Linked DNA regions of Rattus norvegicus. The protein of the gene in region 1 interacts with the protein of each later gene in a biochemical or structural test. Links are inferred from orthologs where the notes say so. Each region holds a gene or a part of one and is shown in the gene's direction. Other genes may lie near its edges.

What was found.
Region 2: the proteins of Sp1 (region 1) and Ddx5 form a complex in vitro, tested with the Homo sapiens proteins (2 studies listed by BioGRID). The link is inferred for Rattus norvegicus from reciprocal best matches to the Homo sapiens genes SP1 and DDX5.

The regions. Positions count from the first base shown.
Region 1 is NC_086025.1:135,418,728-135,422,983, forward strand, and holds the start of Sp1 (transcription factor Sp1), read left to right. Parts: upstream 1-1,322; 5' UTR 1,323-1,360; coding exon 1,361-1,367; intron 1,368-1,511; exon of another isoform or gene 1,512-2,368; intron 2,369-2,709; coding exon 2,710-2,867; intron 2,868-3,148; coding exon 3,149-4,256. UniProt on the Homo sapiens protein: Transcription factor that can activate or repress transcription in response to physiological and pathological stimuli.
Region 2 is NC_086028.1:92,226,383-92,229,054, reverse strand, and holds part of Ddx5 (probable ATP-dependent RNA helicase DDX5), read left to right. Parts: intron 1-52; coding exon 53-118; intron 119-336; coding exon 337-478; intron 479-570; coding exon 571-731; intron 732-815; coding exon 816-988; intron 989-1,349; coding exon 1,350-1,460; intron 1,461-2,076; coding exon 2,077-2,138; intron 2,139-2,225; coding exon 2,226-2,285; intron 2,286-2,672. UniProt on the Homo sapiens protein: Involved in the alternative regulation of pre-mRNA splicing; its RNA helicase activity is necessary for increasing tau exon 10 inclusion and occurs in a RBM4-dependent manner. Binds to the tau pre-mRNA in the stem-loop region downstream of exon 10.

The DNA.
Region 1 (4,256 bases):
AAAATGGAGGCCAGAGATTGAGGTGCCTAGGGCAAATTCTCTAACCTTTTTGATTGCAAAAGTAGGTTACCGTGCTTTCTACTAGGAGGGTAAATTGAGTATTTTGAGAGCTTGGCTTCACGAAGTTCTCCAGAGTGCGTCATTCTCAAAGCCGAGTGATGGGAGTGAACCCTGCCTGGCCCGTGGTTTAGCGTGTCTGGGGCAGCTTAAGAAAATGGCGTTTGCTAGAGCTTCCCAAAAGCCTTCAGCTCAGTGGACTTGGGTTTTCGTGTGCCGTCACCAAGCTGTCGTCCCGCCCGCCGCCACAGGGCTTCCACCCACGGCGAGGGGGAGCCGCCCGCCCATCCCGGCAGGGGTGACATTCGAGAGGTGCTGTGTAGGAGCGGTGAAGGGAAAACTCGAACGGTCCCGGGTGACGCGACACCCTCGCCCTCGCGCGTCTCAGCGCTGACACTTGTGGAACTGCAAGGCTCCGCTAAAGCGTACCACCTAACGAGGAAAAGAAGCCTCTTGAGGAGGGCCAACATGGCGACCAACTCCACTTGGCACAGCCCGGTTCCCTCCTCATGAGGGGCGGCCCTCTAACGACTATTGGCCAAAGCTAGAGGCGGTGCCAGGCTGCTTTCGCTGCCTCATTGGCCTGAGTATCTGAGGGGGAAGCCTGTTCTCCTCTCCCCATTCCAAGTTCCAGCCTTCACCTTCTACTCGGCGTTTAATTGGCTGTTCATTCACGTCAATATGAGCCCTGTTCCGGTTCTTTTCAGTTGTTGTCCAATCAGAACTTTCTTAACTGCCCGCCTGAATTCTGATTGGTTTAGAAAGCTTGATCCTGTCCTATTCCGGCCTATTTCTTACTCTTCTCCTAAACGGACTTTGCCCAGGCATGCCCAAGATTCTGGTTGGTCGTTGTCCTGTCTTTCTTACCTAATCTCCTCCTATCCCCACCGCTCACGGAGCCCGCCTGGTGGTTGACTGGTTTCTCTGCAAGTCCATCTTCTCATCCCGCCCATCACCACTTCCCGAGTCTCTAATTGGTTGTTAAAACTGAGAGGGCGGCCTTTCTGGGCGGAAACCAGGCACGCAACTTGGTCTTACACGCCTCAGAGAGAGAGCGAGTCTTGCCATTGGGTAGACTGCCCGCCTTTCCTCTGCAAGTCCCTCCTTTCACCCTCCTTCATTGGGAGGGGCAGCAGATAAGGGGCGGGGACTAGGCCGGGCTTGTGGCGCGCTGCTCCCTCCTCCTTACCCCCCCCTCCCTGTCCGGTCCGGGTTCGCTTGCCTCGTCAGCGTCCGCGTTTTTCCCGGCCCCCCCCAACCCCCCCGGACAGGACCCCCTTGAGCTCGCCCCTCAGCTGCCACCATGAGCGGTAAGGATGAGTCCACTCCAAGCCTAGGGGTGGGAGGGGAGTGAGGGGGCGCGCGCGAGGGCCGACCGGGCGGTCCCCGCTGTGAGGGGGGGCGGGCGGGAGGCGGCGGCGGCGGCCTTGGTCCCGCCCGGGGCGGAGGGAAGGGAGGGAGAAGGGGCAGTGGCGGGGCCTCGGAGGAGGAGGGGGATGGGCTACCCGCCCCGGGGGAGGGGGCAGCCTGGCCTCGCCCGCCCCCTGCCCGCCCCGGCCACGGGGGACGGGCCTTACCCCCCACTACCCGGCCGGCCGCCTGAGGCTCCTCCTGTCGGGGGCTGGCGCCGCGGGGGCGGCCCGACCAGTGCAGGCCCCGCCTGGGCCAACCGCCTCCCCGGTCCGCCCTCCGGTCCCAGCCTGCTCCAGGCCCTCCCCCGCACCCCCGTAAATTTCCCTTCCCCCATCCGACCCGCCCTTGCCACGCCCCTAACCCCGAAACCGCCCCTTCCTTCTATGGCCCGGCCCCTCAGCCCCAAACCTGGGTTCTAAGCCCTAAACCATTTTAGCCTCTTACCTGCCCTCTTCAGATGTTTCCTCACCTCCACTTACAATTTACCCTTTCTCGGCCCCTTCCTGTTTTTGTTTACACTTAATCTGTCTCCATCTCTTTTAGTCCTAATTTTAGCCCACTTTCCATCCACCTATGTGTTGGGTCTCCTTTTCCTTCCAGGATGCTTTTTTGTTTTTCTTTTTGAGATAGGGTCTATGTGGTACTCGTAGTAACTCGAAGTTACTATGCAGACCTCAAACTTTTAGCTACCTAGTTGCCTGCCTCTTCCTCCTGAGTGCTGGGATTAGAGTGTGCCATCACTAGGCCCCACTTTTTTTTTTTTTTTTTTTTTAATTTCTGAGACACTGCTCTCAAATTCCCTCAAAAGTGCTGTTTGCATTGAGATCAGTTCTTACTCTGTAGGTCTGGCAGACCTAGAACCACCTGGCTCATCCTTCCAAGTCTTGGGATTATAGGTGTGAGTCACCATGCCTGGCTTCCAAAGCAATTTTTGAGTCATTTCTGGGGTTAATTTATGCCTGGGAAAATAGTGACCTGTCTTGGACACCATTAAGCCATGTGCCTGCTCTGCATGCCTATGGCTTTGGCATCTCAGTTTAATGTGTAACTGAGAATTTCTTTGAACTCTTGTCTCCACTTCCAAAATACTGGGATTTTAGGCCTACCACCATAACTAGCTGTATCTGACTAATACCTTTAAAAAAAAACATTTTATTAGTCATTGCTGGTGGTCAAAACGTTAATTTTAAATCTTAATGTTTTTCCCCCTCAACTTATTTGTTTTGTAATTATTTTTAGACCAAGATCACTCAATGGATGAAGTGACAGCTGTGAAGATTGAAAAAGGTGTTGGTGGCAATAACGGGGGTAGCGGGAACGGTGGTGGTGCCGCCTTTTCTCAGACTCGAAGCAGCAGCACAGGCAGTAGCAGCAGCAGTGGTGGCGGAGGAGGGCAGGTGAGTGATCAAAGATGGGGAAGGTATTGAAAGGGTATAAGTATTCTTAGAAACCTCCTTAACCAAAAACTCTGGGAGAAAGTACAGTAGGGAAGTACACACAGAAAGATAGGTGATCTAGAGGGTCCCCAAATAGGAAAGTTGGAACAGTACACAGAAGTTAGCATTTTGTTTCTGGTTTTTGCTCTTTATATGCCTGCATTGTTGCTGTTTGTCTGTTGAATACTGCCCCCTAGGCCAGCTATTGGGTGCCACTAACTCCTTTCCTCTCTTCTGGCCAGGAATCCCAGCCATCTCCTTTGGCTCTGCTGGCAGCAACCTGCAGCAGAATTGAGTCACCCAATGAGAACAGCAACAACTCCCAGGGTCCGAGTCAGTCAGGGGGCACAGGTGAACTTGACCTCACAGCCACACAACTTTCACAGGGTGCCAATGGCTGGCAGATCATCTCTTCCTCCTCTGGGGCTACCCCTACCTCAAAGGAACAGAGTGGCAACAGTACCAATGGCAGCAATGGCAGTGAGTCTTCCAAGAACCGCACAGTCTCTGGTGGGCAGTATGTTGTGGCTGCTACCCCCAACTTACAGAACCAGCAAGTTCTGACAGGTCTACCTGGAGTAATGCCTAATATTCAGTATCAAGTAATCCCACAGTTCCAGACTGTTGATGGGCAACAGCTGCAGTTTGCTGCCACTGGGGCCCAAGTGCAGCAGGATGGTTCTGGTCAAATACAGATCATACCAGGTGCAAATCAACAGATCATCACAAATAGAGGAAGTGGGGGCAACATTATTGCTGCTATGCCAAATCTACTCCAGCAAGCTGTCCCCCTCCAAGGCCTTGCTAATAATGTGCTCTCAGGACAGACTCAGTATGTGACCAATGTACCAGTGGCCCTGAATGGGAACATCACCTTGCTACCTGTCAACAGCGTTTCTGCAGCTACCCTGACTCCCAGCTCTCAGGCAGGCACGATCAGCAGCTCTGGATCCCAGGAGAGTGGCTCACAGCCTGTCACCTCAGGGACTGCCATCAGTTCTGCCAGCTTGGTGTCATCACAAGCCAGTTCCAGCTCCTTTTTCACCAATGCCAACAGCTATTCAACAACTACCACCACCAGCAACATGGGAATTATGAACTTTACCAGCAGCGGATCATCAGGGACTAGTTCTCAAGGCCAGACATCCCAGAGAGTTGGTGGGCTGCAAGGGTCTGATTCTCTAAACATCCAGCAGAACCAGACATCAGGAGGATCACTGCAAGGAAGTCAGCAAAAAGAGGGAGAGCAAAGTCAGCAGACACAGCAACAACAAATTCTTATTCAGCCTCAGCTAGTTCAAGGTGGACAAGCTCTTCAGGCCCTCCAAGCAGCACCATTGTCAGGACAGA
Region 2 (2,672 bases), on another chromosome or scaffold:
TTTATTTAACTATTTTAATCCAATTTCAATAATTGTTTTTACTCTTCAATAGTATTTGCTGCCTGCCATTGTACACATAAACCACCAGCCATTCTTAGAGAGAGGTGATGGGCCTATTGTAAGTATCTTAAGTTTCCCACCCTATTTGCTAGAACTCCTTTGTTTTATATAGCTGGAAAGTGGGGCTGTCAGTATAAACTAGCCATTTAAAATTAGTATCCAAAGACAGTAAGTTGGATGGGCCATAATAGATAACTGCCACAGTACCCAACACATAAAGACGTAGTGGCATCTTAGTAAACTGGTTTATACTAAAAACACTTTTTTCAAACTTAGTGCTTGGTGCTGGCACCAACTCGAGAACTGGCACAGCAGGTGCAGCAGGTCGCTGCTGAATATTGTAGAGCTTGTCGCTTGAAGTCTACTTGCATCTATGGTGGTGCTCCCAAAGGACCGCAGATTCGTGATTTGGAGAGAGGTATATAACCATAGAGGGTGCTCTTTGACACTGGTGGAGATGAAAGTTTTACATATTGTAGTTATATCTCCTTTTTATTCATTTAATTAAAGGTGTGGAAATCTGTATTGCAACACCTGGAAGACTGATTGACTTTTTAGAGTGTGGGAAAACCAATCTGAGAAGAACAACTTACCTTGTCCTTGATGAAGCTGATAGGATGCTTGATATGGGCTTTGAACCCCAAATAAGGAAAATTGTGGATCAAATAAGAGTAAGTGGTCTCTATGTTACTGTAAAAATCAGTTCTAAGTTTGCTCTTAGTGTTGAAGTCTGACTTACTTCCCTAAATCTTCAGCCTGATAGGCAAACACTAATGTGGAGTGCAACTTGGCCAAAAGAAGTAAGACAGCTTGCTGAAGATTTCCTGAAAGACTATATTCATATCAATATTGGTGCACTGGAACTGAGTGCAAACCATAACATTCTTCAGATTGTGGATGTGTGTCATGATGTCGAAAAGGATGAAAAGTAAGTTTAAGTTAACAGAAAATCTTGCTTTTATACAAGAATAATCAGTTTTGAAAATTGTCTGAAAAATAACATTAAGTAGTGTTTTTAAATCAGAGTGTTAGGGATATAGCTTGGTGAGATAAAGGACTTGCTTGGCTTGCATGAAATGGGTTTTTGAACCTAGCCACTGCACAAGCATGCACAAAATGGTACATCAATCTTCATGAAAATCTGTTCTTCAGGGTATTGTGCATGTGACAGCTTTGTGGGATTGTTGTTCTGACTTACATTGATACATGGTCAATTGATTTAGCACAAAAACAGGGTTTGTGGTTTGTTTTTTAATCTTTTAAAAAATAGTGCTTTTCTTCATCTTTAGACTTATTCGTCTGATGGAAGAGATCATGAGTGAGAAGGAGAATAAAACCATTGTTTTTGTTGAAACCAAAAGAAGATGTGATGAACTTACCAGAAAAATGAGGAGAGATGGGTATGTGGTTTCCTGAAGCAAAGCAGACTTTAGGAAAGGGCAAAAGTATTTTGATGAGAAACAGTGTTCTTGGAATCTTGTACTATAATACAGGCATAATTGTGTGAATTATTTCTAGTGACAGTTGTAGTAGGCTCGGGGTTGTGATGTTTAGCCAAGATGGAAGTGCAGTGGGGGTGAGTATTAGTAAATACTTGACTGAGTATTAGTAAACACTTGACTGAGTATTAGTAAACACTTGACTGAGTATTAGTAAATACTTGACTGAGTATTAGTAAACACTTGACTGAGTATTAGTAAATACTTGACTGAGTATTAGTAAATACTTGACTGAGTATTAGTAAATACTTGACTGAGTATTAGTAAACACTTGACTGAGTATTAGTAAACACTTGACTGAGTATTAGTAAACACTTGACTGAGTATTAGTAAACACTTGACTGAGTATTAGTAAATACTTGACTGAGTATTAGTAAATACTTGACTATTAGTAAATACTTGACTGAGTATTAGTAAATACTTGACTGAGTATTAGTAAATACTTGACTGAGTATTAGTAAATACTTGACTGGAGTTTTAAGTTGGGTGTGCTGATGATAATCTAATTTTTATATAGGTGGCCTGCCATGGGCATCCATGGTGACAAGAGTCAACAGGAACGAGACTGGGTTCTAAATGGTATGTATTTCAAATAAGATGCGATTAGTTTGTGGCTTGATAAAATGATTTGCTTGCATTAATGATTATTCGTGTTTGTCTTTATAGAATTCAAACATGGAAAAGCTCCTATTCTGATTGCTACCGATGTGGCCTCCAGAGGGCTAGGTTAGTACAAAATCGAATTCATGGCTTGGTTTCCCAGAAGATCTCCATGTAGTTTTTTTTAAAGAAAGTTTATTGCTTTCTTTAACCTCTGCATTTTTTCTAAGTTTTTTTCACATAAAGGTGCAGTCTTTGTGGCAAGGCCTAGGCATGACAATCGGAGGACTCGAGGGGGATGGAGGACTAGTGATCGGCTGGCTGCTTCCAGTCGATTAGAGAGGTGAAAAGCTGAAAGTGTGCCAGTAATCTTCAAAGGGCAGAACATACCACCTCTGCCCCATAAACTGTTCTCTCCGGGGGAAAAAAATGGAAGTTACCTCACAGTTCACTGCCGTGGTATTTCATCTGTCCCATGCTTTGCATGATTGCCATGGTACAGCATTGTTTCAA